4 linked regions of the Tamandua tetradactyla genome follow. The protein of the gene in region 4 interacts with the protein of the main gene of each other region in a biochemical or structural test. Links are inferred from orthologs where the notes say so. Each region holds a gene or a part of one and is shown on either strand. Other genes may lie near its edges. The genes, in order: APPL1, CHML, RBSN and RAB5A.

Region 1 (6,877 bases), about 40 Mb from region 4:
GAATGAATGGGGTATTCAGTGGCCTAAAGTTAGAGAATCCAATTAGAAGCTGTATTAGTCAGGGTTCTCTAGAGAAACAGAACCAACAGCAGATAGCAATAAATATGAGACTTATAAAGGTGGCTCATACAATCGTGGGAATGGAAGTCCAAAATCCGCAGTGCAGACTGTGAAGCTGGCAGCTCTGATGAAGAGTCTGGACGAATTCCACAAGAGAGTCTCGCTGGCTGAAGAAGCAGTGGAAAAGTCTCTCTTCTTCCTTAAAAATCTTCAACTGATAGGATTATCTCTTTGGTGGGGGACAGGCCTTAGTTGATCTTGGATGTAATCAGCCACAGACCCGATCAACTGACTGATGATTTAACACACCAAGCTTTCCAGTTTATCAACCAGCCACAAATATTGTTGCAGCACCCGTCAGGCCAGTTGTTTGTCTGACCAGATAACTGGGCATTATAACTTGGCCAAGCTGACACCAGAACCTAACCATCACAGCTGTTTTAAGATTCTTCCAGATTTATAATCAATTAAACCACATTTCTACCCAATTGTCTGTCAGTCTGTTTTTTTGTTTTTGTAATTAAAATTTTATAGAAATAATGCATTTAAAAACATATAAAATAAATATATAATTATTCAGTGGTAAAATTCTTGGTGGTTTTTCCTCACATTTTATGTCATGTTTTCATGTACATCAAAAGATACATTCATATTATAAGACACATAAATCTTTAAAGTTAAAAAACACTTTGAGGGCGGGCCGCGGTGGCTCAGCAGGCAAGAATGTTCGCCTGCCATGCCAGTGGACCCGGGTTCGATTCCCAGTGCCTGCCCATGTTTAAAAAAAAAAAAAATTTGATACAGATGCCCTCAAATTTTTTGTTGAATGAAAGACATATGGTAGGGATCATGTTTCGCAATTTATTTTATCCTTTTAAATACAGTGCTTTGATAACAATACATGCACAGTGTGTGCTACGTAAGGTAAAGAATTTCTAGTCAACTAAATGCCCCACATGCCCATGAGTTTCCATGCCAGGCAAAGCAGAGGAAAGAGCAGTGAAGCCTTTTGCCCCAACGGAGCATTTATTTTCCCCTGCAAACTATGTAATCATATATATATTATATTAGTTAAAAAGTAAATAGTAGGTGCTAGATATTTCTACAAAACAAGAATTCAATCTAAAAACTAGAACTTGAAATAATTAAAAATTTTCTAGTTTTAATTGTGTTATTCACCATACTCATGTTTTCATCTGAAACTTTTGCATCTGAATGAGAATGAAAGTCATTCTCTTTCAAATGAGTGGTTATGCCTAACATAAAGAACTAGTCATCACTTAAACTAGTATTTTCTCATTTTGATATCATTATTTGTAAGTGTTCTTAAGGTTGAAAACTAATTTAATCTGCTTTGAGAATTTTGTTACAGAATTTTGGAACCAGCTGCTTTAGAATGTTCTAATTGCTTGATGGCCCTGTCAGAGATTTCAATATTTCTAGGTAGAATCTCTAATTTTCTCTTTTCTTCTGATCTTTAACAGCACAGCTAATTACGATAGATTGAAATTTCTGATCAACTGGCCCAGGGGGTACCTCAGATACATGCACTGTACAGCGACATTAAACATCTCCTGGCATTTCCCAGATCATCGAGAAACTTAATGACTACCTCATCGATAATTCTGGTGGCATGCTTTAGAGATTCCTTGTGCTGGAGGTTTCTAATTGCTTCCACTGAGACTTCAACAGTGGAAGTCTCAGTGGGGTGGAGAGTTCGTCCCATCAAACGATTTGTGGTTGGATTTAATACTCTTTCTTCATTGCTAATCTGCCTCATGTGCTCTTTTAGATACTGCGGATCATTTCCAAGAGGATTTCTTTCTGTTGCTCAACAGTAGTTGCTGCTTCTCTCAAAGCTTCAACCCTGAGCTCTCTGCTGGTCCAGGCTCTTCAGCCAGGAGGGTGAGCGGTAGAAGCGCCCCTCGTTGGCTTTTCACGATGATCTTGGACTGAGCATCTGAGCCTTCGTGGGGTCACTTGCCCCAGGTAGCGGCAGGTCGAGTGTGGTTTTTGTTTTTTCTTTCAACCCGCTGAGCCTGACAAGAATTCCTTGTCCCTCTCTGGTGATGTAACAGTCTCTTGAAAGTTCTCTACAGCAACAATTTGTACGTACAAAATACACAAAAGAGGAAACTATTTAACTTGATGATAATACCCCACTCAGACAACCGAATTTTTCACTGGAATTATTCAGTTTGACTTGTGAGTAATTCCCCACTGGTTTACCTCATATGATTACGCTTATTTCTGAGACTTTATTTTCACCTGTCACTTACTTCTTACATTTACCAGTTTTCTATACTTTCTCCTTTATTTATAATCCAAATCGCAGTTCTATCCAGAAGGTCACTTACCTTAAGAGTCTTCCTTTCCAGAGCAAGGTTGCAAGCACTCTTGCTGGCAGTGTAGAAAAGAGGCAGGAAGGGCAGAGCTGGGTTGGTGGGGTGTGCATGATGCTGGGTACAATAAGCATCTGGGAATCCCACTGCTAACAACATATAAACTTACTCCAAATCGTCTTTCTCTAAAACTGAAGACCTCTTCTAGAATGTCACTAGCTATTTATAGCAAAACAGTCCAAGAAATATCTATCATTTAAAGGATAATTCTGTGGCACTGCATTGCAGGTCTACTTGACAAAATGTTTTTAAGCTGATTTTATCTTTCCTTCAAGAGATCATGGGGAAACCTAGTCTTTTAGCTTAAAATATGTAACTTCCATTCCTGTCACTGTGTTTGGATTTGTTCTCCACTTTATTTGGATTTCTTCGCAATGTATCTGTGGAATCAGGCAGCTAACACTCTTTGCTCAGCATCTCTTATATTTCTTAAATGAAAATTGAACGGAATGACAGGATTAATGGCTTTATTTTTAGAAGACACTAAGTGATTTTGCCATTTTCTCCCTATACCGATGAAAGCTTCTTATTATCCTGCAGAAAAATAAATGAGGCAGTGTAAGTTTGGGGAACAGTAAAAAAGGTAGGAGGAAGACCCAGCTTCTGGTATTGATCTGGTGGAATCCTCAACTTCTTTGAGCGTCACTTTTCTCTACTGCAAAATTAGAGGCTGGAGAATCTATTTAAAGCCTTTTCCAAATTTTTCTGATTTGACAGAAATGCTAAGCAGTTACTAATATAATGAACTCGTGAACCTTGATTTAAAAAAGATATTTGCATTTTCATTTGTAATTTAATGGAAATATGGAAGTCTGAACTGCAGGTGTTAGAACTGACGAAGTGGCGGAAAAGTCACGTTTTCAACGGAATATACTGATATCCAAGTGCCTAGAAAGGAAACGTCGAGTCCACTGTCCAAGAATTTACCAGAAATCACAGGTCACTGAGATCTGCGTCTCCTAGCACCATTTTGCTGGGTGCTCCGGACAGGAAGCACCCAGGTAATAATGCGAGAAGGTAACAATGCGAGAAACTAAAGGAAGGAGCCAGCCAGCATCAGGGCTTTTTCCAAGGTCTCTCACGAAAGAAGTTGCAGGAGAAGTGAAACCGTCAAAATTCCCCAGTATGGTCCTCACTCGAGGGTCTGGTTGCCCGCCTTCGCACGCCGTGGGGGAGACAGTCCCCTACCAATCATCCAAACGCGCGGTGGTCGAGAAGACACCCACCGAACACTGTTAGTGCCGCCTCCGCGGTCTCCACCGCCTGGGAGCTAGCGCCCGCCACACAGCACCGCTCTGCGAAAGGACCTCCCAGCCAGTCTCGCAGCGCTGACGGGCGTCGCCGCGAACCAATGGGCACGCGGGAGGCGAGGCAGGGTGGGCCAGGGGGCGGGATTTCCCGCGCGCTCGCTTAGGGCCTAGAGAAGGCGGCGCCGAGTGGCGACGACGGCTGCGGCGCTTGCGAGGGAGGGCGGGCCGAGGTCAGCTGCTGCGGGCGGGTCGGCCTTCGCGTCTCCTACCGCCGCCCTCCCTCCGCCACGATGCCCGGGATCGACAAGCTGCCTATCGAGGAGACGCTGGAGGACAGCCCGCAGGTGAGGCGCGGGCGGTTAGCAGCTGAGCGCGGCGGGACGACCCGGGGCCTGGCGCCGCCGCCGCCGCCGCAGGTACCCCCGGGGCCCAGGTGGGCGCCCCCGTGCGAGTGCCCCCGCCCGTCGGGCCGGTCGCGGGCGGTGCCCGGAGCCGCCGAGGCCGGGGCCTGCCTCCCGAGGCCCGCGGCCCGCGTGGGCCTGCGCGGCTGGGCCGAGAGCCGCGCACTGTTTCCCGGACGTCCGCAGGTTGAGCCCAAAGCCGCCGCCTTCGCGCGTGGGCCCATGGTGACATAATGCGCGCGGGTTTCTCTTTTATTTGTTTTTATCGAAGTGATGCGCCGTGATAAATCTCGGTCCTGAAACTTTCCCGCAGACCGTTTCGGAGAAAATGCGGAAGGGGCAAAAAAAAAACCGGTCGACTTTGATTTCTGAAGGCTTTGCAAGCCGGAGAAGAAAAGGGGTAGATAGGTTTTCCTCGGGAGATGCTGAAAGCCTCCTGATGTCCCCGGGTGGGGAGTCTTTGGAGAAGACCAATGAAAGTCCCGGAGCTAGAATCCGCCCCTCCCTGCCAAGTGTGTTCGCTGTCGTGGCCGCGACTGTCCCGCTGTCACTCGAGCTGTGCACGGCGTGTGATGTACTACTTCTTCGCGGATCCTCGTCCTTGGATGCAGAGTTGGCCTTAGTAAAGTAATCAAAATAAGAGCCTCGTGTTCTGTGTTTGGTCCATTGGGGATGATGCTGTGTGATTGCTCTGGCTTAAGTCACTCCAGCAAAACTTGACCATTTTATATTTGTTCAGTATTGGAGAATGTAATCACTTATGCTGAGAAAAAAGTTATCGGTGGGGGCTGTAACTTGCACAGAAACACTTCATCTGTAAGCCTGTCTTTTACACAATAATGTAAGCGATTTAAGACGATACTGTTGGCTGGATGCCATGCAGAAAGGAAAATTTCTGAAATACTGTCCATTTATAGCTATAATTAAAGATTTTCCACGTCTTGGTAGTTTGATATGGCCCCAAAAGAAGGACAGGAAGAAAGGTCTGGATTTCCTCCTCTTGGGTGGTATTTCTGCCTGAAATTTTTGCCAGTTTTGTCAAGTTACAATTGGACCCTGATTGTGGAACTGATTTTGTTCTGTTTTTCATTCTGAAAGTTATCTTCAGAGTCCTGGAAATATGCGCGCGGGTTTCTCTTTTATTTGTTTTTATCGAAGTGATGCCCCGTGATAAATCCCGGTCCTGGAACTTTCCCGCAGACCGTTTCGGAGAAAATGCGGAAGGGGCAAAAAAAAAAAAACAAAAAACCGGTCGACTTTGATTTCTGAGGCTTTGCAAGCCTTAGAAGAAAAGGAGTAGATAGGTTTTTCTCGGGAGATGCTGAAAGCCTTCTGATGCCCCCAGGTGGGAAGTCTTTGGAGAAGACCAATGAAAGCCTGTACTTAACACTAAGAGAAACCCATATTTGGATTATCTTGATTACCAGAATCATTAGTGCAAATTCTTCTTAATGACTTTCTTCACTGAACCACCTGTGCACCTTGAGTATTAATGTTTTTAAAGGCACAGGTCATATTAATATCAGTTCTACAGTAATCTTTAATGAAATAGGCCACATTGATATTCTTTTACTTTCTAGAAGCAGTACTTTTGAACTAGGTAATGTTTATATGGGATCAGTTGGGACAACTGGGATTTACGAAGGGATGAAACTTGGAGGTAATTCTTAGGGAGAACCTGGGGCAGGATGGAAAGCCCTGGATCTGGGGTTTAGAAGGTAAGAGTTATAGACTTGACTCCCTAGTACCTTCTGCTTTAGGATGAATAACTCAGCTTCTTTGAACCTTAGCTGTTATAGATAATGAATGTTTTTATTTTTATTCCTGATTTTAAAAATCATAGTTGTTTGCTTCAGAAAAATTTGAAGGTTCAGAAAGAGTACACACATATACCTCTGATACACCCATCAGGAAACCCTGTTAACAGTTTGTTTTCTTTAGTGCAGTCTTTTTTCTTTGTATTTTGATGTAATTGAGATTATATTGTGCATAGCAATTTTTATCTTGCTTTTAACTTGACATTATAGCTTAAGAATCTTCATGTTATTATATTTTGAATAAACAAGTTTAAGGGCTGCACATTTCCTCAACTGCTTTTACTTGGACTTCTAGGATTTTTTGAAACATTCACTCTAATAAGTAGGGCTGAAATGAATGCCTTTGGCCATTAATTTTTGTTTTCATCCTGGACTATTTTCTTAGGATAGAGTCCAAGAAATAAAACGGCAAAGAATTTGAAAACCTTTAGAGCTCCTAATATGGTTAGTTTTTTTTTATTAGAACGTTTGATATTAAAGATGGCCTGTCAGTTGCTATGTAAAAATGTTAACTGGGAGTCATGTAAGCCTATTTTGAATTACAGTTATCCCTTTTTTAGAACTACTTTACAGGAACTAAGTATTGAAATAGAGGGGGATTTGTAAGTCCAAGTCCAGCTGATGTATTATAAGCATCTTTAGAATTATCACGCACGAACCACACCATTCTCAAAAGATAGGTCATATGTTGAGACAGAAAATCTTAAGACTATACATGATGACTTGTCCACATTTATAGTTTTGAAAATCAGATACAAATTGAAACTTCTTGGGTAGAAACAGGGATGATCTTTAAAAATATAATTGATTTTATGCGTAGATAGGTATTTTATCATTGATTCATCCATGGTAAAACTTAAGAAAGCCACACTCCCACATGCAAACTTCTCTCTTGAGCATACTGTGAAATAGTCTTGAGACACATATTTTTCCCCCACATTTTAACC
Region 2 (7,775 bases), on a different chromosome or scaffold from region 4:
GAGAAATATTTATGAATGAATGATTCCATAAGTGAATGAGTAAATGTGTGAACGGACATGATACTTCCAAGCTCGTGGAGGGAGAGCTCTGCAGTTGACTTCCCTCGCTTCTGCCCTACCATGTCGGCGCGCCCCAGTGGCAGCTAGTCCACGCTCGCTGGTGCGCGCTGGAGCCCGGGGGAGGGACCGGCGAAAGGAGGGGGCGTGGTCACGATGACACGCTACGCGAGGGGGCGTGGTCAGGAGGCGCGCCGGGCGGAAGCGGCTGCCTGCCAGTTCCCGCGACGCCTCGCGGTCTCGGCGGCTTCGGATGGCTGCACCCTGAGCCCGAGCTGAGGCCCCACCCAGTGCGGAGGGCGCCGAGGGCTGTGGTGAACGCTGAGCGCCTCCGCCCGCCCAGCGCGCCGGCGCCGGGCCATGTACTCGGGGAACCGAAGCGGCGGCCGAGACTACTGGGAGGTCGGCGGGGGCGCGGGCGCCCAGGGAGCGGGGCCGACGGGGACGCTCAGCCCGGCGCCCCTCTTCAGCCCGGGCACCTACGAGCGCCTGGCGCTCCTGATCGGCTCCATTGGGCTGCTGGGCGCCGGCAACAACCTGCTGGTGCTCATCCTGTACTACAAGTTCCAGCGGCTCCGCACTCCCACCAACCTCTTCCTGGTCAACATCAGCTTCAGCGACCTGCTGGTGTCCCTCTTCGGAGTCACCTTTACGTTCGTATCCTGCCTGAGGAACGGCTGGGTCTGGGACACCGTGGGCTGCGCGTGGGACGGGTTTAGCAGCAGCCTCTTCGGTGAGTTGGGCTGGGAGGAGAAAGCTTTCTCTCCACTGCAAACTTCCCGTTTCCCGCAGTGCCACCACCCCTGCGACAGCTTGCCGCCCAAGCCGCCCCCCGCGCCTTCCCGCTCGCGCTCCCGGCCACCGCCGTGCTCTGTCCCACGCTCCTGTCACGCTGCCACCCCCGGTTGCACGGCGCCCCTTCCTTCCTTGCCTCATCGCTTCCTTCCCTCCCACTGGCCGCGATTCCGATCCCCCAGGTAGACGCTGAACCCCAGCCTGTCTTCACCCGCAGTTGTCCTTTTAACTCCAGTTCCTCCCTAACTCTACTCAGCCCCTGCCCAGGTCATCTCATTTCTCCTTTTTCACCTCCTAATGTAATTCAACAGGTCACGACACAACGGCTTTTACACTTTGAGAAAAGAAACGAGGGGCTGTAGAGACAAGAGAGTCAAGAAAAACAGTGATTAACTTAGCAATGTTGGAGTGGGTGACGGAAAGAAATTTAATGCATACACAGTTTTTTCCCTAAAGTGAGAGATAAGTTACACATTAAAGAGCAATGTGTAAAATTTTTTTTTTTTTTGGTTTTGCTTATTAGCAACTGTAAACCTTTGAATGCTTCTTAGGGAGTGAGCGTTTAATTTAGGTCTTTAGAGTGCAAATTGGCTTGTACCCTATAAGCTACTTTTACTGTATTTTTTTCCTTATAGGTCCTATGAAACCAAAATCTAAGGTGAGATTGCAAATGACTCAGAGAATCTCAACTCAGGTGAACAAGTAATTAGCTGTGCAACCTTTAGATTCATTAAAGCAGAACTTGATTGTTAATTGAAGATTTGGTTCTACAATATTCCCAATCCTTATGGAAGAATTAAGTTTCTCTTGAGAGGAGTCTCAAGCTTGGAAAATAAATTATTTTTTGTGTACTCTAGGAATTTCATTTGTATAAAATTTGAGATAGAGATGTGTACTTCTCAGGTCTTAAATTTCCTTTTGTATGCTGAAATCCATTAGTAATTTATTACTGCTTTTATCTTGCAAGGTTTTGGAGAACATAATCTTTGTAGCATTATCAAAAACATTTTCTTGTTTACCAACCTACTATGCTCTGACAAATTCAATTATGATATTTGTTGTGATTCATTTTTAGGTATTTTTGGGAAACAAAGAAAATATCATAGGGATTATGATTTCATTTATTTGATTGCTTAAATAGTTTTGATACCATTCCCCTGAACTACCACCAAGCTTTAACGTGGGGATTTCATTTGGACATATTTGAAACTTGGAAAGGGAGCTATAAGTGTATGTAGGTGGCACTATAGATGGCTATGCTATTATTTTCTTTATATTAATTTAAAAATACCTATCAGGCAATTTTTAAGGTGAGGCTAAACTTTAAAGAGGGTGATTCAAGTGCAAGCCAATAGTAATAGTACCAAAGATGGGCAACAGGTGTTTGATCATATACATGAAAGTTCTTATTTCCACAAAATACCTTTTCTAGTGCTGGGAAATTCTATTTATATCCCATCTCTATGCTGGGAGTTTAAAAGCAAGGGTATATTGACTTCTTTTTTATTACCATCATCTGTTCTGTTTCCTTACCTCATCCCTCTGCCTGTCCCACCCTCTTCGGTCTCCTTGTCACCTCCTTTTTTTTTCTTTTTCACCTTCCCTGCTTGATTCCATCCCAATCAAAAGTGATTTTCTAATGCTGGAAATGTTTACCACACGGTGTTTTACCTGAAGACTGCTCTGTTTTTCTTGGCATTTAGTTAGTGCTTTCATCCCTGTCTTTATTCCTGTTTTTAAATTAGAGGTAGAAATTCAGGGTAAGAGGTTCTGAGACTTGTTTAAGCCTTGGGAGACAAGTCAGTAATGGGGTTATGATGGAGCTTAAGAAGTTCATAGCAAAAATTAAGAATTTCATTGCGTGGAGTAAAGTCCCAGATTTGTACGTCTAGATTAGGGTTAAAGATGCAGAAAGGGAGGTGCTTCCCTCATTGTTATCCCTGGGCAAGAACTAATCAACCATGGCAGAGGAAATTTTAAAAGCTGGACATTTCTGCTTCATCCAGAGGCATCTGGCCAGTTGGCACAAGAGTAGGTTGCGCTCTTGAATCTGTGACTGACAAATTGTGTGGACTTCCCCAAGTCTGTTAATCTCTACATGTCTATTCTCATCTTTATTATGGAGTAGTTGAGCAAAATGTTCCCTCAGGTTTCACACTATGTTTTTAATGACTCCTTTGCTATCTATAGGTTAGAAGGAACCTGATCTTAGCATTTAGAGCTGTGTCCTCTCTCCTTACTCTGCCCTCAGCCCCTATTTCCTCTAAGCCAAGAATAAGCACATACTATGGTCAGTCTTCTAAAGATAACCTCATGGGTTCTATCTCCCTCTTCACACCTTGCTGGAAGAAGTAAGAATAAATAATTCAGACTTACTTACATAAATGCTTGAGTGGGTCAGGCATTTCTTTCATTCTCTGCTTAATTCCCGATTTCTCAGAAAATACCCCAAATAAATGAAATCCCTACTATTCTTGAGGCAGAAGCTTTGACTAGACAGAACTGTGAGAATTGTCATTTCAGTTAAACTGTCCAGTTCAGTGAACTAATCTATTTAATATAATTCCAGTTGGATGGCTTGTTTTACTTATGTCTAAAATAATTAATCACATTAGCCTAGGCAGGCCCAGCTTGTACTGAGCTAGATTTCAGTTAAGTTAAGCAGAAAGGGAAATCAGAGTTTAAAGAATTCTCACTCTTGCTGTGCAAAGATGACTGATAGTTAGAAGGGCTCCCTAGCAGTGTAGTGTGTGAAGGCAGAATTCACACATAGGTGTGGGAGGTGAAAGGAAAGGGCATATCCAGGTAAGTATACCCTTCAGTACCTCGGCTGTTCACCTCTGGCCACACCTACTTTCAGACTTGCACATGGAATATAACAAGTATTATACCAGAAGTTAACAGGAGAGCCTTTTGTAACTACCACCTTCATGCCTTCAAAACCAAGAACAACAGAAAACAAGTTGGTCTTTCAAGAGAATGTTTAAATAGACCTATTTCTTGGGACACAGAGAGTCAGGGTTGCCGAGACAAAGTCTGACAAGAAGCAGAAATCACTCTCTTTAGTGTTAGAAGCAAGTGTTAAATATGTTAATATATTTTAACATTTGAACCCAGGAATTTTGTAGCTTATTACCTCTATAAAGCACACATGTACTTGTGTACATTGATATAAAGAGTTATAAATAAATATCCCTCCTCAGTAGGTCTATACTTCATATCTCCAGGTTTAAAAAAATGCCAGTGGCTTTGCTGAGTTAATCTTTTGTTAATACACTGACTGGTTAATTCAATAGAAATACTCAAACCCTCATTTTGCTACAAGATCCTAAGGGTGGTTGAGGCCTGAAAAGACCTAATTGGCTGGTGCAGAATCACCTACAGACTGTACTGGTCACGGTCATGATCATGGCAGTAGTCACATAATACATAATCTGTTTCCACAAACACAATGCAGTCAGACATTTCTTTCTTATTTATTTTTTTTTTTTGGAGTCACACATTTCTAAGCTCACAGCTATATATAGTTTTACGTTTTACTCAAATACTAGTTTTATTAAAACCAATGTTATATATTTTATTATGTTAATTCTTTATTTTTGTGGGATAGTATTATGTCCATTCTTGATTATTGAATTGCCTGATTTGGGGAAGTATATCTGTACTGTTCATTTTTTTAAAGAAATAAGAATATATGTAAGTGTGTATTTAATGACTTGGGCTAGCAGAGGTTTTATCCAGGTAACAAGTCAGATTTCAATAGACTATAATTGTTATTACATGAAATTATTTTTCTCTTTTAATGTTTACAATTGTATTCTTTCTTGAATTTTCTTCTTTCAGAGAAGAGTTCCAGTCACAAATGCATATGTGATGCATTTTGACATTTACTGCTAAGATGAAATGCAGAAATGAAAACCACACATCAGTTTTGGTATTCTCAAATGTGATTAGATGTACTTTGTCATGTTTTTATGCTACTGACCTGTAAGAAAAAAATACCCCCCAAAAAAGAGTAGTAGTTAAACAGCTAGGACTGTAACCTCTGCTTCTGGGATAAACTGGAACATCACAAGAAGAGATTTGATCTTGGCATACTCATACCTCAGCTGAGCCCACAGCCTAGATTCATAAACATTTCCTTCATCGGCAGTTGTCAGCAGGTGCTTTAGTTCCCAGAATGGCGGACAATCTCCCTACAGAGTTTGATGTGGTTATAATAGGGACAGGTTTGCCTGAATCCATCCTTGCAGCTGCATGTTCAAGGAGTGGTCAGAGGGTTCTGCATGTTGATTCACGAAGTTATTATGGAGGAAACTGGGCTAGTTTCAGCTTTTCAGGATTGTTATCCTGGTTGAAAGAATATCAGCAAAACAGTGATGATTCAGAAGAAAGAACAGCTGCATGGCAAGACCTGATCCATGAAACCGAAGAAGCCATTACTCTTCGCAAAAAGGATGCAACCATTCAACACATAGAAGTTTTTTGTTATGCCAATCAGGATTTGGATGACAATGTTGAAGAAATTGGTGCCCTGCAGAAAAATCCTTCCTCAGTGGCATCTAGTACTCTCACTGAACCTCTGGATTCTGCATGTGTACCCAAAGAAAGCCACTTATGCAATACTAACTATGAAATGCCTGCCAAAGACACTCCAAAAAGTGATAAAGGGGTTTCACTAGAAGTAAATGATGTAGAGGAAATTCTGGAGAAGGAAAATGATTGTGGAGATAAAACTTTTCACACAGTTTTAGATGGAGGTAAAGATGAAAGCAAACCTATGGTAGAAGACAACACTGATCAACCAAAGAAAAATAGGGTTACTTACTCTCAAATAGTTAAAGAAGGCAGAAGATTTAATATTGATTTGGTATCAAAGCTGCTGTTTTCTCAAGGATTGCTAATTGATCTTTTAATCAAATCAAATGTAAGTCGATATGCAGAATTTAAAAATGTCACTAGGATTCTTGCATTTCGGGAAGGAAAAGTAGAACAGGTGCCTTGTTCCAGAGCAGATGTCTTTAATAGCAAAGAACTCACAATGGTTGAAAAGAGAATGCTAATGAAATTTCTTACATTTTGTATAGACTACGAACAACATCCTGATGAATACCAAGCTTTCACGCAGTGTTCGTTTTCAGAGTACTTAAAAACTAAAAAACTAACTCCCAACCTCCAGCATTTTGTACTGCACTCAATTGCAATGACATCACAGTCATCTTGCACTACGTTAGATGGCCTTAAAGCAACAAAAAACTTCCTGCAGTGTCTGGGACGGTTCGGCAACACACCTTTTTTATTTCCCTTGTATGGCCAAGGAGAAATTCCCCAGTGTTTCTGCAGGATGTGTGCAGTTTTTGGTGGAATCTATTGTCTCCGCCATAAAGTACAATGCCTTGTAGTTGACAAAGATTCTGGAAGATGTAAAGCAGTTATAGATCACTTTGGTCAAAGAATAAATGCTAAATATTTTATTGTGGAGGACAGTTACCTTTCTGAGGAAACATGCTCAAATGTGCAGTATAAGCAGATCTCCAGGGCAGTGCTCATTACAGATCAGTCTATACTAAAGACAGATTCAGATCAGCAGATTTCCATTTTGATAGTGCCTCCAGCAGAACCAGAAAGTTGTGCCATTCGGGTGACTGAATTATGTTCTTCAACCATGACATGCATGAAAGATACCTATCTGGTACATCTGACATGTCCATCTTCTAAAACAGCGAGAGAAGACTTAGAAGAATCAGTGGTGAAGAAATTATTCACTCCATATGATGAAACAGAAATAGATAAGGAAGGACTAACAAAGCCAAGACTCTTGTGGGCTCTTTATTATAACATGAGAGATTCTTCTGAAATAGGCAGAAGCTCATATAATGGCTTACCTTCCAATGTTTATATCTGCTCTGGGCCTGACTGTGGTCTGGGAAATGAGCATGCAGTCAAGCAAGCTGAGACACTTTTCCGGGAGATCTTTCCAGATGAAGAATTCTGCCCCCCACCTCCAAATCCAGAAGACATTATCTTTGATGGTGATGATAAGCAGTCAGAGGCTCCTGGAACCAATAATATAGTAATGGCCAAAGTAGAATCCACTGAAGAAATAAAAAACCTAGAAAACCCAGGGAAGCACCTTTAAAATTAGAAAAAGCAAACTGGAAATTCCATTTTGGACCTTCATCCTGGCATCAGAACATTCTCATTTAAAGGACATATTAGAAGTGGTTATATGATAAATGCTATGTTTGCAGATGTTGCTGTTAAATTTGAGACATTCAGTGTTTGGAAGCCTTTGTTAATCTTTCAGTAACTGATTTATTACTTATTGGACATTTTTTTGGCTGCCAGATAGACTCCCTGATCCAAAACCTTAAACTGCATTTGCTTTATTTTGGAATTAGGTACATATGTGAGGTTTCATTACTAGGAACTCTGCTTAAAGGAAGGTAATTTGTATCTGCTGATCTTTAGATTTTACCATTGTTTACAAAACAGTATCTAAGAAATAGTATAAATACTTTTGTAGCTGTTATAAGTTTCTGTCTCCTCTGCTTTCCGAGGAGATCTGTTTGAATAGTGAAACACAAAGTAAATTATATGGTTTTTTTGTAATATAACATGTAGGCATGATGATGGCATTGCAAGTAATACAAGTGCCAATATGATAAAATATATTTAACTACGATTGTGAGAAAGATTAGCTTGGTTTGATCCTTTATTCTTTGTGGAGGTCTGATGTTTGAAATACGTCTTACAAATACATCAGCCTGACCCATATAAACAACTGGGGCAGTGAATGATAACACCACAGGCTTCTACATTACAAAAAAAGTTGGAGAGTTCAGTTCTTAGTTTAAGAACTAATTCTTGGGAGGTTCATTTCACAGAGAATTTAGTGAATAATTCAAGATTGATCTGGTTGA
Region 3 (7,996 bases), on a different chromosome or scaffold from region 4:
CATTTGAGGGGTGAATGGGAATAAAAATCCATTCCATGCCCGTGCTGGGTTTGAAACTGTTATGTACCCCAGAAAAGCTAAGTTCTTTTCATCCAATCTTGTGGGGGCAGATCTATTGTTGGGTGAGACCCTTTGATTAGGTTGTTAGATGTGACCCAGCCCATTCAGGATAGGTCTGAATCCATTTACAGAAGTCCCTTAAGAGGGAGACCTTTTGGAGAAAGCACAGATACTTGGAGACGGAAAACATCCCAGGAGATGCTAAGCTAAGAGATGAAATGCAGAGTTTGCACCGGAGAAGCTAAGAAAGGCTCCTGGAATCAGAAGTTGAAAGCAACGAACCAGGAGCAAGGACCAGCAGATGCCAGCCACATCCCAGCTGACATAGGTGTTCCAGAGGCTGGCCTTTCTTCAGGGTCCAGGTATCATCTTGTTGACGCCTTAAATTCAGACATTTTCATGACCTTAGACCTGTAAATCTGTAACCTAAAAATTCCCCTCGGTAAAATCCAACCCATTTCTGGTATATTGCTTCCCAGCAGCTTTAGAAAACTGAAACAGTACTCTACTTGCTAAGTGCAAGGCTTGAATCTTGTCACAGGGCTGTGGCTGGTGGAAGAAGGGACCCCCTCTTGCATTTGTCAAAGGCCCCTTTAGGCTGGCGATTGTCCTGCTGTGCCAAAGGAGAGGCCAGTTCCAAACCTGTAAATTGGGTGACCTTGCAGCCCACATACCACAAGGCAATCCATATTTCTGATAGTTTAGGTTTGTTAAGTCCCCCACTCCCCTGCCACAGATTTTGGATTCAATGAATCTAGTTACTATTTAATTCTATTCTGAGTTCTCTTCAAAGACTTCCCATATGGCAGGACCATGACTCAAAAATATTTCCATGACACCAGCCTGGATCCTTGCACCTCCTATGGTATTGTCTGACTCAGCTGTCACAACCGCTAAGGCATTTGTGTGACACCTCCCTTCTTTTTTCTTTATGCAACAAAAATTTTTTTTTGTATTTTTATACTCACCAGTTTATTTTGAAAACAACCTTTTCTGATATATATCCAAATGAATCTGAAATTATAGTTATCTCAAAGTACATAGTAGTTAACTATAAATGAAACACTGATAAAAGAACATGACTTCAACTTAATAGAATTCTTTTTCCAGTTTTTTAAATGATTTTTTCCCATATAAGCCAATATATCATATTTGACACTTGGGTTATATGTTCATATAAATCATACACATTTGTCAAAGTGAGCATAAGATTAAACAGGATACAGTGTCCTCTCTGGATATAATTAAATTTTCAGAGGCAAAGTGGTCCAAATGGGAGCAAAAAGTTGAGTGCCTCATGAAATAAACTTGATAAAGAAAAATTAAGACTAACGCTAAAGATTTATACCATAAATCATTCTCTTTCCTATCCTTTTAACATACAAATGTGACTCTGGGTATGTGTGAATCAATATACTTGTAATCAAGATTGTGAACTCCTATGACTAGGGGAGCATGTAATTCAACAAAAAGCCCTGGGATCAAAAAAAAAGAGGTAGTATAGGTGAAGAGAAGACATTTGTCCATCAAGTTATACATGTTGGCTTATTAAAGAGATAGATTATTTAGAAGTCTCAATGGGCTCAGATATTGACTTGGGCCTGAAAGTGATGTTTAATTATTTATTAAGATCATAATTAAACATATTAGAAATCTAGTCATCACTGGATAGTACCTTAAGGTTAAATACTGAAAAGAAATGATCGTTACAAAACACACAAAACGTTATGTTTTATAGTTCTATTTTGTTTGTTCCACTATTTTTGTAATTGGGGCAAGAGAAGAGATCCAATTTGTTTAAGAAAATTTAATGTACCCCATAAGCTGTCTGAATCAGAGATTTTTATTAATTCTTCTGCAAACACAACACTGATTTCCATCTATAATTTTTTTTTACAATTTTTTTTAGGATAAACAATAAGTCAGTTAAAAAAAGTTGTGGACTTGAGCTATAAAACTTTACACTTTTTGCACAGTTGAAAAACCTAGAACATCACTGTGAAGATGTTCATCATGATTGGCCTTCAGTAATGAATGGATGCAGCTTTTACTGTGACTTCTCCAAAAATGCTTTGAGCACCCAACACACTACTGGTACACAGCCTCAAAGTCAGTCATTCCTATAATAGGGATCTTCAAAAATGAGTTGGTTTGGGGGATCATAGCTCCCAAGTAGTTCAATTTTTACTTTGCAGTTTTTAACTTCACTACCTTCTCTATTCAAGTCTCTCAGATTGCTTTCATCCATACACAATATATAATCAAATGTGCAAAGTCTTCTTTGGTAACCTGCCAGGCAACGTGACCCATAGGAATGTCATGCTTCTTCATGCAATTTTGCCCTTGATAATCAGGAGGGTTTCCTATCTCATAATTGGATATTGTGGCACTGTCTATACTCCAATTATCTGAAATCTCTTGATCAGTTACAAATTTTCTGAAAACTGCTTCTGCAGTGGGTGACCGACAAATGTTACCCAGACATACACACAGCACTGACTTGGGCAGCTACCCTGCCCATGTTCTCAGCTGCAAAGAGAGACCCAGAGTGAGAGGGAATGACCTGGCTGGAACTGGATATGAGCATGATGCATGCACACCTGCAACAAACATTTATATTGTCAGTCCTTCCTACGTGCCAGAGACTGTTCTAGCACTTTTCAAATATTAACTTATTTAATTCTCCGATGCAGGAGGTAAGCACTCTTATCTCATTTTACAGATGAGTAAATTGAAACTGAGAGAATTTAATGACCTGTCTGGGATCAAACAAGTGGCAGATTCAACCCAGGGATTCAAACCTAGGGTGACTGTTTCCAGAGTTTTGTGCTTTTAACTACAAGGCTGTCCTACCTCTTAACTCTTTCTTGTGATTCGATTCTTTCCCTCCCTCCTTCCCTATGGGCTTTCCTCTTTCATTCCTCCTTCTTTCCTTTCCTCCTTTTCCTGCTTCCTTCTTGACAGACTTGGGCAGCTGACAGCTGTGTCTCCTAGATACCACCCAGCCTGGCACACCCTTTGCCAATTCTCCAGACAAGTGCCTGCTAGTCCTTTGGTCATTAATTTCGTTGCTTAGTTTTTGTTTTTTAGTTTTGTAGCTATCATTATTTTAATTTTCCTGTGTCAGATTTCTCATCTATGAGATGGAAACAGTATTAGTTTGTACCTCACAGGGTTGTGGGAAAATTAAATGAGTTAAGACATGTAAAGAACATAGGACAGTGCCTAGTACATGCTAATTGTTTAGTAAATATTAGTCATCATTATTATTTTTATAATGGAAACAACAGAGATGTTGGAAGGCTTAACTAACATTGAATATGAAAGTGCTTTTATAGGCCGTAAATCAAACAGGAAAGGCTTTGCTATCATTATTCTTAAAACTATTAATAGAAAAGCAGGGGCCAATCTGTGATGATTTCCAGAATTAATTCACAAGCTGCTGGTCACATTGCTACTGCTGTTTGGAGCAAATGAAACAGTGACTGTGACAGAGTTTTGTAAATAATAACTCATAACTGTTTAATAAAAGTTTCCTCCTGGGTGGGCCATGGGGGCTCAGCAGGCAGACTTCTCGCCTGCCATGTTGAAGACTGGGGTTCTATTCCTGGTGCCTGCCTACGAGAAAAAAAAAAGCTTCCTTCCCTGACCTCAACCACAATCTTCCTTGTAATTGTGGCTCCTCCTGGCATTTGTTTGGCCCCAGGCATTTAAGATGATATTTTCTCTCTTCAAGTCCTGGCTCTCCCACCCCAAGACAGAGGCTGGTGAAGGAGGGGCTTGTTGCTTTTCTTTTGATAGGTTTGCAAGTCCCTTCTTTATGCCAATACTTGAAAGATAGTCATTGCCTACCCCTGCTGATCTTGTAAAGTTAAAAAAACAGAATTAAAAAAAAATCAGGTTGGGGGACAAAAAGAGTTTGTAAGTCTTTGGAAGCATTTGTCTGTGCATATGGGGAAACTGAGATCCAGAGAGGAGACGCCATCTGTTCAAAGTCACAGAGTAAAGGACAGCCAGGACTAGAACCTGACTCCTGGCTCATTGCTCTTTTAGTGGCGATCCCCTTCCAAAAACTCCATACTGTCCAAACTGAGAGCCCATGTCTTCAAACCGTAGGTGACATAGGCCCAGTCTAAGCACAGAACCAGTGCTCCTGTCCACAGATTTGCTGGGGAGGACTCTTTGGAGAAAGGGAAAGCAAGGTAGGTGAAGCCAGCAATACGGAGCCCCTAAAGTCACAGTATTTAAATCTAAAACAACTCTTTGAGGCGAAGACTGATATCCCCTTTGTACTTAAGGTGTTCGGGTCAAAGAGGTCAAGTAACATCCGGAATCTAAGCCCAGACTGCCCACCATGTTCTGCAGCTTCTGCTTCTGGAGCCCAGGCCATTGCTACGCCCAGCGTCCTACAGGAACACCCACGGGACTGGGATGAGGTTGTGTCTCTAATGCCGGGTGGTACCCAGCCCAGTGCAGGGAACGGAGTTGGTACTGACAGATCCGTTCTGTGTTCTGAAAATGCTACAGGTTTCCCCATGATATACACCTCCCGAATTACGCCTTCCCATTCCAAGCCCTCACCCGCATGTGTGTTTCTCTTCCGAATATTTCCACATCCTTTAAGCCTCCTGTAGATTCCTTCTCTTATCTCTCAGGGATTAATTCAGACTGCAGTTCAGGGTGTACTAGGAGGCGTTAAAAAACCCTCGGGTGGCTCACAGGGCATTCTGAACAAGGGACAAAGAACTTGAGGCCTCGATTTCCTCATCTGTACGATAGGCGCTGCGGCCGTATCAAAGTATGCGGAATGTCAAAATGCCGCAAAATTACGGCGTCCCTCACCCTCCTCTTTCCTACGGCGCCTGCGCAAAAGCCGCTGGCCCGCCCCGAGCTATTCGAATCCGTCCCCGCCCACTTCGCGCCCTCGAAGACTCGGCGCTCGACGGGCGACTGTCAGCCTATCTTCCGGTTTCGAGACCGCCGCAGGCGCACCTGAGGAGCGCCGAGCAGCCGATGGCGATGGCTGCCGCGGTCGCGGCGGTGTGAAGGATTGAAGGTCCAGAGTCTGGGCCCGAGGACTGAACAGGTTAGCGCGTCCGCGGGAGTCTAGCCGGGTACCGAGGACCGGGCCGAACCTGCCGTTAGGGGACGCGGTACCCTTCGGGAACCGAGATGGGCGGGCCGTGTGACTGTGGGATGTGTTTGGTTGCGGTGGGTGTGACGTGTGAGGTGCGAGGTGGGGGCGTTCGTGTGGTGCCTTTCGCCAGTACGTGCTTGAGGTTATGCTGGGCGCCAGCAGTTGTGTTTGGTTATGCGGCTGAGATTTAGATGGTTGTCTGCCGACACCTTGTATTTGGTTCTCGCGTTGAGAAGGAGAAGTGCAGGGGGTTGCCAAATGTGGGGGGAGGGACGCCACCGCTCCGGGGGGGTGCTGCTTCGGGGAAGTGAGTTTTGAGCTGGGATGCGAAACGTGAGTGTGTGGTTTGTGATTGGCTTGTGGTGGTTATGGGGTTAGTGCATGGGAGGGAAGGGGGCTGTCAGAGTCAGAATGTTTGATGAACCACCAACTGGGGAGGGGACTAATCAAACCTTGGGTTACTGGTTAAGTGACCAAATGGAAAAGGGGCTGGGAATGCGTGTGTATACTCATTGGACTTCTTAGCTAAAAGAATAAAAAACCAGCCTGGGGTCACTATTTATTTTCTAGGTCACTGCCACCTTACAGCTTTGAGAACCAGGCAGCCCTCCCTAATGGTTCTCTGAACAAGTCCATCCAAAGCCGAGGGCCACATAGTCCCCTTCTTTCTATCATTCTGTGCTGTGGTCTGGGACCCCGTGGCTCCTGAGAAGTTTCTGCTGTTAAGGAACGGTTTGATCTGGATTCTCCCTATGGCTGGGAATCTTTCTTTGGTGACTTAGGAAGTTACTTTGCCATGGCTTGATAAGCCCGAAAATGTAACTTATTACGTTCTGAATTGTTTGAGCACCAAATCCTTTTATTTTTGAAGCTGTGAGAACATTAGGCTTGCTGCTCAACTGCCACTTACTGGCTTATAAAATGTAGTAAGCCTATTGGAGAGAAAGTGCTTTATAAATATAAAATACAAAATGGATTTTTCTTTTTGACCAATAGGTTTCTAATGCTCCTCCTTAGACTGAGGTTGGTTTGTTTTTTGTTTGTTTGTTTAGGGCAGGCATTGTGCCTTTTTCATCTTTGCTTTACTGGCACAGTTGCCTTGCAAGTACTAAGAGCTCAGTAAATGTGGTTGAAGAAATGAGAAAGGTAAGGAGTCAAATAAAAGCTAGTGCTTGATGATGAATACTTCTGAAATTTCCCCAGTGGCCACAGTGGCATACAAATGATAAAGTTGGATCATTTGGGATATTGAATGTATTGCCTTAGTATTGCGTTTGCTTTTTAAAAAAAAAAACAACTTTTTTAGTTGTAAACTTTAACATATTAAGTGTTTGCTTTTTTTTTTGTATGCTATATGGTGGTGGTCACATTTCATTCTTTTTCCATGTGACTATTCCATTCTTGCAGCACCATTTGTTGAATTTTTTTTTGCTGGTGGGGCGTGCACAGGCCGGGAATCGAACCCAGGTCTCTGCATGGCTGGTGAGAATTCTACCACTGAACTACCGTTGCACCCTGTGTTTGCTTTTGAAGTTAAGTTTTCCTTTCTTTGAGAATCTGTTTCCCATGTCATTTAGCTGCCATGGTCCAGTGATACTCTCATATCTTAGTGTCTTGGTCCGATGATTTGAGGCAACAGTTTGTTTTCTCAGACTTGTACTGAATAAACTTTATGTGAATTGTGAAAAGAACAAAGAATTCTTAATTGCTGCTAATTTGCCTGAATTGGCTTTTCCCCTTCTTTCCTTTCTTAGGGCTCTTCCTACTCCAGAGAGGAAACCTCATCCAGGGTTATGATGCCACTTTCTCACTGTCAATGTGACATTGGTTAGCTAATGCTGCAGGAACCCTGGTGCCTCACAGAGGAATCGCATGAGGCCACTGCCTTGCCAGGACTGAGAGGAGCACTGCCATGGCTTCTTTGGAAGACCCAGGGGAAGTGCGGGAAGGCTTCCTCTGCCCTTTGTGCCTGAAGGACCTGCAGTCTTTCTATCAGCTTCAGTCACATTATGAGGAAGAGCACTCAGGGGAAGACCGTGATGTCAAAGGGCAAATTAAAAGTAAGAGGCAAGGATCTTGCTTGTCCCATTCTGTCACCTGGAGCTTTAACTCATGGGATGGTTTTCATCAGCGTCCATGTTGCCACCAGAATATGATAATAATAATAGTAGTTACCGAACATACATCTAGTGTTTACCACATGCCAGGCATTGATCAAAACTCTTCCCTTGTGTTAATTTAAATCTCACAATGGTTATATGATTATGAGCCGGAATTAGGTAATTAGCCTAGAAGTCACACAGTGAGGCAGAACCTGGCTTTGAATTTAGGTTCAAATCGTACCACATTCTGCTCTCTCTTGCTAGATTCTTTGAATTATTTAACCACCAGGCTAGAGGGTTTTAGAGTGGAATTCCTTTCCTTTACTATTAATATGGAGGTAACTTATGCACCATTTACCTGTCATAGATTCAGGTCTTCCCACCAGCCTTTCTTCCTCAACTAGACTTTGTTCTCTATAGTCCGAAGAAAGAAGGTCAGACTTGAAAAGCAAAGAAAAAAACTAAGGAATGGCTTTTGAGCTTCCTGGGGTTCAGGTCCTGGAGAGTTGAAGAAAGAATTTTTAACTGTGCATTGTGTTTGTCATTTTCCTGGACTTCAGATTCTAATCCCTAAATTAGATGCAGCTTTTCTGGAACTCACTTACCTAGTAAGTTAGCTACTCTGCTTCTCAGGAAGCATTTCTGAAGGTGATATGCTTAAACAGGTTTGGATGCTGTTTTCACAATTCGTTGTTGG
Region 4 (6,893 bases):
CATCTTAAAGTCCTTGAGAACACTTAAACCTTAACAACTAGCCTTTAGTAGTATTTAAAGTAAATCTAACAAAGCCTGAAATATCTATGCTATACAATAATGCATATTGTATAGCATATGCTATACAATAATGCAAAAATGCATAATGTATTTGTCACTCTAAATGTGACAAACTCAAACTTGACTATTTTTAAGTACAGGTTATTCTTTAAATTGATTTTATAGGGTCAGTATTTGTCATGTCCTAAACACATAGTGGATATAGGACACCTAGCCTGAAATTTGAATGGAATTTACAGGATTCTGGTCTTTGCAAGAACACTATGAAAATTTTGTAGCATCCAAAGTTTAAAAAAGTGACTAAAGGATACTATCTCACATTTTAAAAAATGTTTACAATATAATTGTCTAGTTAATATCCTTCTCTCCCTAAGAGCATTAAATGACTTGATGGTGTCTGACTTGATGATGTGTAAATCAAGGTATGTCTGTATAAAGGCTCATTCAATTCTTTATTCTACAAATATGTATTGAGTCCCTACATTGTGTTAGTGCTGGGGATACAATAGAGAATAAACCAACCCCTGGTTTCATGTAATTTAAATTCTAGTGGGGGATACATAACCATCAAGTAAACCAATAAATAAGATAACTTCAGATACTGATAAGTATTTGAAGAACACAGAATGGTGTGATATGGGAGGAAGCTACTTAAAAATTGGAAGTTTCACTCCTAGGTAGGTGACATTTGAGCTGAGAACTGAATGATGCTCTCAAACAACACAAAATTTTTAAACATGGCCAGCTCAGGGTTCTACAATCTTTTCTCTTATTACCTTGATACCAGGCTTAAAACTCCTTATGTCAGAGTTACTATTTGGTTTTGCCTCCAGACAAATTTTAGTTTGTCTAAGATAGTCCCAACTAAAATAAAATGTTACCATACGTGACCATCTATGCAAAAGATTATTCTTCAAGTACACAAGGCAGGACAGACTTCCTCGACGAGAAAGTAGAAGATCTGGGTGCTGTGAGTGATTGAGAGAGCCAAAGTGATGAGAATTTAGTATTAAATGTCTGTAGATTTGAGGGGAATGTAAGCACTAAGGCAGGATTTAAGTCCTTGCGATTTTACTTAGGCCCCATTCATTTCACAGCTTCCTTAACAAATTCTAGGAACCATAAAATACATGACAATTATCAATCCTCCTCGTTATCTGGGGTCAGGAAAAAGAAAACAGGCATACTGTGAGTGGCAATTCAAGAGCAAAGCTTTACTGTGGCATTTCAGTTTCTCTAAAAATATACCTCTGCATCTTAGAGGTGCCAGCCACTGGCACAGCACTCTTCAGATAAACATTAAGACTAAACTGCAAAATATTGTGGAATGTATTCATGGAGGATGTGAAATAAAAGACAGACTCTAAACAAAAACAAAGGAGGTGGTGCACAGGTGTTCAGCGGTAGACTGTTCCTCTTTCATGAGGGAGACCCGGGTTCGATTTCCAGACCATGCACCAAAAAAATAAAGGAGGAAGCAATATACTAGAAAGATTTAATGGGGGAATTTGTAACAATTCATAAGTTTACGCATCCCATGTGTTATTTGTGAGGTCTTCATAAGCCAAATGTTCACCACTCTCAATGTAAATAAGTTTGACTAATAAATTGGGGGTCCCTATAACTTTTAAGGCCCTATAAGTCTCTGTGAGGAACTGAAATAATGAAAAAATTATGGTACTGACCTTTAAGAAATTTATAATTCTAAGGGTAATGAAGGGCTGAGAAGAAAAGTTTAGGCATTCTCGAACTGTAACATAAAGCAAGATGATAGGAGAACAATTATAGAGGGTAAGCAAAGTATCATGAAAGTACAGAAAAAATAAAATTAAATCCATTAGAAGTATCTCCAGATGCCATCCAAGGAGTTGGCATCCCAGCCAAGGAAAGATCAGCAATGATGAGTGGTAATGATATTCAAGGTAGAGAGAACAAAGTGAGCAAAAAAGCTAAAATGGGAACACACAGATAATTAGGGAACACAGAGTACACTAGCGAGGTTAGGGCACAAAGCAAAACTTTGAGGGAGAAGGAGAATTTGGAAATAGAATGCAAGAAAGGTGGGTTGAGACTAGCACTGAAGAAGTTTTTACTCTTTTAACAAGTAATGAGAAGCCATTGAACATTATTGAGTAGAGGAGTGGCTGGCAAAAGTGTGAAAAGTGGATTGAAATGGCAATAGTGTGTATTAATTCCAATTTATATGACTATTACCATGGGGCAGGGTTTGGGATTAAGAGCCCAGATTTGGGGATTAGAGAATTTTTTATAATAGAATGCATAATGGTTTTTGAGGGAGAAAGGAAGAGTTAAAAATGATTCTTCATTTTCAAGTCCTGGTGACTGGGAGGCTGTTAATGCCAGGCATGAAAAGGAACAGGTTTAGGGCACAATGGGTTTGTTTTTAAACATGCTGTTGACATATCCTACTTCCTGATTATTGCTGAGATTGTCCAAAAGGTATAACCATGACTAATACATCATACTGGAACAACCCTCTGGGGACAAGGTGTCACAGATACCATTTATGTATGACACATAATGCTTTTTTGGTTAGTAATTGGGGAGTTGATCTGCAAGACTGGCTGTTCAAGGATTCAAATCATCTTCATTGCATAATGCTGAGGGAGATCCACAGGATACCTTGCCCCAAGTACCCTTCCAAGACAACTATTGATGCCTTTACAATAGGACTAAAAAAAACCCTGAACATTACAACTGAAAAATAGCCCTCATTCCGAAGGAAAATCAATTTAACATTCTTCTACCAAATTACTATAAAAATGCGGGGAACGGGAGACAGAAACAATAAATGCCTTGTCTATTATGTGAGATTTGACCAAAGACGCATGCCCTAAGTCTGCTGTGGAGGGTGGGCTGGCTTTCAGTTGAATCTATGTTTAAGAACTAAAGTTCTGAAGGCTAGAATTCCGTTTCATCACCAACTAGGTGTGATTTTAAACAAATTACTAAATCTCCGCGCTTCAATTTCTTCACCCGTTAAATAGGCTCTGAAGATTCCTATGTCCAGGCATCATGCTAGACGATCTCTCTAGGGTTAATATCCTCATGTAGAGAAGTAGAATTTAAACAAGTTAGTTAACAGAGCGTAATCTTCGTAATAAAGTGGGTTAACTCCGGCGAACAGTAACTAGCGAAGGGAAAACTGAATTAAAGATAGGTTTTATTTTAGAACTTGCCCCTCACGACCAATAAACTCTCAAAAAAAGGTAATTATTAAGATCCCTGTCCCCCCCCCCCCCAACGCCCCTGCCAATGACAGCTTTGTTGATGGGGAGGGTCCTATCCGCTCCGTGGAGGGGATATGACATACACCCTTTACGTCCCACCCACCTCCAGTAACAGGTGAGGGACTGCCGCCGCAAGTCTCTGGTGCTGGATAAATTCCTTCAAAACCAAGTCCCTTGAGCTGAGTTGCTCAGGGCTACTCGCGATGCGGAGAGTGCGACTGTGACCTTATATTCATGAAAGAGCCTCACCGCCCCACGACCTGGAAAAAATACACTAATTCCTTCGGGTCCTCCCCCAAAGCAGGGTCCGGGAGTGTTCCTCAAACCTCCGCCCAGAGCCCAGAAAGCCCGGATCAGATAACAATGGCGCCGGCGAGGGCAGGTCCGCTAGCGCTAGGGACCCAAGAGGAAAAGAAGCCTCAGTCCCCGACCCTGGACGCTCGTAGCGGCCACGTGACACACCCCGCCCGGTCCAGCAAAGGAGGCCTGGATGGGCGGGGCTTTGAGCGGGTGGGGTTGTAGATGGAGCGGACCGACGGGTGACGACAGGAAGTGACGAAAGGTCGTAGTTTTCTACGTGCAGCGACGTGGCGGCGGGGTGACGCCGCCCGGCGGAAGTGGCTCTCTCGCTGGGACTTGAGTGTTTGTGTTTTGGTTCGTGAAGGAGCCGGCGGCTGGGCCTAAGGGGAGGAGGCTGAGGAGGGAGGAGGAGGAAGAAGTAGTCAGAACCCGAGCGCCGGCTGCGGCGGAGGAGGAGAAAAGAAAGAGGAAGGCGGAGCGGAGAGAGGCGGGGACGGAGCCCGACGGGGGCGGCACCAGCAGCACGAGCCCCACACCATCCAGTTTGAGGGGAGCGACGCGAGGAGGAGACACCGTCGCTGCCGGAGCCACACTCACAGCCTCAGTCTCAGTCCCGTACTTCAGGCCGCGTCTGGGACCTCTGCCAGGAAGCTTCGGCCCCGCAGCCCCGTGCGCTGTGTCCAGGTAACCAAACCGACCCCTCCCCCTGCCCAAAGCTGACACGAATCCAGGCAAAGCGGACCCCAGCCTGCCCGTGGCCCCGCGGGCACTGAGCCCCCTGCCTCGTACTAGTGCTCGCGCTCAGAGTTGTAGAACTCGGCATCTGACCCAGCCGGTCTTGGGGACCGGGATTTGGGGACTGGTTAAGGAGCGACGGGTGTCACCCTCTTCCCTTCTCAAGATGGCGCCGTAGAAAGAGTACTGGAGGCCGCGGCTCCGCCTGCCTTCTGTCCTGGGGGTCCCAGCCAAAGCCAGGCCAGGTTCGGGGGAGGAGGATGGGAAAGATGGCCAAGTGGCCTGGCGGGTCCTTCTTGTTCAGGCGCTCAGAAATTGGGTATGTATGAGGTACTCAGAGACTCCAGAGGGGAGCCGGGCCTACAGCAGGTGTGAATTGGGGAAGCCCCGCCTACCCTCGACTTCTTCGGATGGGCAATGTTAGAAGGAGTCTTCTCAAAAGAGGCTCTTAGAGACCCATGTCTCTATAAAAGGTGGTGAACTGCAATTTTAAAGAGATTCAAGATAACAAGGACGCTGAACATCCTCAGTGGGTAGACACCATGAAACCTGCTCTGGATTCTGTTCCCAGGAAGTTGGATACTCCCCTCTCCCTGAGACTTTCAGACTTGAAGCTCTGAACGTCATAATTCACATATTTGACTTTTGGTTTTTCCTTAAGTGGCAGCAAACTATTTAGGCAGTTACCTTTCACATAACTAGCAGGAAAAAAAAATACTTGTTTAACCACTATAATAATCATTCAGGACGATTCAGAAACTTTACTCCTAATGTAAAATGGGGATAATAATATGAGCTCATGGGGTTGTCGTGAGTTAAATTCATATAACAGTGCCATGCACAAAGTAGGTGTCCATTCACTGTTAGCTGTTAATAAAATTTTGGCCAAAGAGCACTTAGAAGGAATTTAGCTACAGAATAGGAATTATTTTTAAAAAGTTTAAAATGCACGTTATGCACACTCCTCAGTTTGCACGGCAAAAGTTTCTGTAAATAATACAAATGAATGCACATACAATTTTATGTTAACTGCATATTTATAATTAAATTCCATTTGTTTCTCATTTGAGAACTTTGGGATAGCCAAAATCCAGTAGCTTTAAACATTAGAGACCTAGCTAAGTCAGACTCCTTTGTTTTATATGGGAATCTGATGTTTTCACTGGAATTTTGGAAGCACCATAGACGTTCTGAACTAGTTGTCCTTGTTGGCTGTTTTGAAGATAACATAGTACAAACAATTGGGGAGGGTTTTACTTGGTATTATGTATAGAATTATTTGAAAGTGTACTGGCGTATTTTCAGTCTAGGTGACATGCTACTGATACTTAATCACTATCAAATGGCTACATTAATTGCCAGTATTTAATCCCTATTATGTATTGGGTACTTTATTGAGATTCTTTATATATACTCTCATTTGATTTTCACAGCACCTCTGCAAGTTAGGTATTACAGAAATGGAGACTTAGTTAAAGAACTTGCCCAGGAATTGGTATTGCCAGGATTAGATTCCCATGTCTGGTGTGTTTGAGGGATGTTGAGGAGTTGTGACTTTTTTAATCATGAAAAATACTAAGTGTATACAGAACTAGGGAGAATTGTGTAATGAATCCATCATCCAGCTTCGCTAATCTCATGGCCAATCTTGTTTTATTTATACCTCCAATTGTTTGAAGGCACCTCTCAAGTCATAATAGCATTTTATCCATTCATTATGTTTTCCTAAAAGATAGACACCTCAGTAATTGGTGTCAAGTAAACAGGGCAGGCTGTCTTAATCATAAGGTTTTGTGGATATATATGTTTATTAAATTCGTTACCAAGAGTGTGTCTTATATATATTCAAATTTTATCAGGAAGGCAAATTTCTTATACAGGTCAGCTGCTTGAAATTTAACAGGGTTCTTAGGTTAGGAATCATTCATGGGTTTAATATTATTGATGAGCAAGCACATGATCAGATCTCGATTAAACGGGAGTAAACTACTGATTGATTTCTGAGTAGTCTGGGAAAGGGAATAGATTTTTTAAATATTTAATAATTCCTGTTGAGGTTGATAATTAGCATTATTAGGTAAGAAGTAAAAACAGAAGTTTGACTCTAGAATAATTTTTTTAAATGTATTGTTAAATAGAAAATAATGGCGTATTCATTGTTAGCTCAAAAACTACAGAAAAATGTGAGTAAATAAATCATTAATAATCGTTCCAGACAGAGAATCACTGTTAACATTTCTGTGGTGTGATATTCTTGAGCAGATGAAACTGTTTTAAGTCTTAGCCACTAGTTACACAAACCTAGGGCCTTAAAATATTTGTTTTTCCTAAATTAACATTACTTAATGAAAAACATGTACTATTTAATAGAAACCTTCAAATAGTAATAACCAACATTTATTATACTCTTAGTAAGTGTTAGAATATGGTCTAAGAGCTTCCCATTTATTTGTCCTCAAAATTATTTTCCCCATGTAGTTTAACTCTGGAACCTGAACTCTGGATCACCTCCTGGGTTGCCTGAGTAACTCTGTGACCTTAGTGAAG

What was found.
Region 1: the proteins of RAB5A (region 4) and APPL1 form a complex in vitro, tested with the Homo sapiens proteins (2 studies listed by BioGRID and IntAct, with this or other methods). The link is inferred for Tamandua tetradactyla from reciprocal best matches to the Homo sapiens genes RAB5A and APPL1.
Region 2: the proteins of RAB5A (region 4) and CHML form a complex in vitro, tested with the Homo sapiens proteins (2 studies listed by BioGRID). The link is inferred for Tamandua tetradactyla from reciprocal best matches to the Homo sapiens genes RAB5A and CHML.
Region 3: the proteins of RAB5A (region 4) and RBSN form a complex in vitro, tested with the Homo sapiens proteins (3 studies listed by BioGRID, with this or other methods). The link is inferred for Tamandua tetradactyla from reciprocal best matches to the Homo sapiens genes RAB5A and RBSN.

Annotation. Positions count from the first base shown.
Region 1 is NC_135341.1:27,903,519-27,910,395, reverse strand, and holds the start of APPL1 (DCC-interacting protein 13-alpha), read left to right. Parts: upstream 1-3,875; 5' UTR 3,876-4,002; coding exon 4,003-4,056; intron 4,057-6,877. UniProt on the Homo sapiens protein: Multifunctional adapter protein that binds to various membrane receptors, nuclear factors and signaling proteins to regulate many processes, such as cell proliferation, immune response, endosomal trafficking and cell metabolism.
Region 2 is NC_135333.1:12,778,173-12,785,947, reverse strand, and holds CHML (rab proteins geranylgeranyltransferase component A 2), read left to right. Parts: upstream 1-4,761; 5' UTR 4,762-5,032; coding exon 5,033-6,991; 3' UTR 6,992-7,662; downstream 7,663-7,775. Other genes in the region: OPN3 (opsin-3), read left to right, coding at 418-790. UniProt on the Homo sapiens protein: Substrate-binding subunit (component A) of the Rab geranylgeranyltransferase (GGTase) complex. Binds unprenylated Rab proteins and presents the substrate peptide to the catalytic component B.
Region 3 is NC_135335.1:35,137,926-35,145,921, reverse strand, and holds the start of RBSN (rabenosyn-5), read left to right. Parts: upstream 1-4,991; 5' UTR 4,992-5,146; intron 5,147-5,295; exon of another isoform or gene 5,296-5,326; intron 5,327-6,249; 5' UTR 6,250-6,343; intron 6,344-6,951; 5' UTR 6,952-7,109; coding exon 7,110-7,257; intron 7,258-7,996. UniProt on the Homo sapiens protein: Rab4/Rab5 effector protein acting in early endocytic membrane fusion and membrane trafficking of recycling endosomes. Required for endosome fusion either homotypically or with clathrin coated vesicles.
Region 4 is NC_135341.1:68,345,826-68,352,718, reverse strand, and holds the start of RAB5A (ras-related protein Rab-5A), read left to right. Parts: upstream 1-3,885; 5' UTR 3,886-4,295; intron 4,296-6,893. UniProt on the Homo sapiens protein: The small GTPases Rab are key regulators of intracellular membrane trafficking, from the formation of transport vesicles to their fusion with membranes.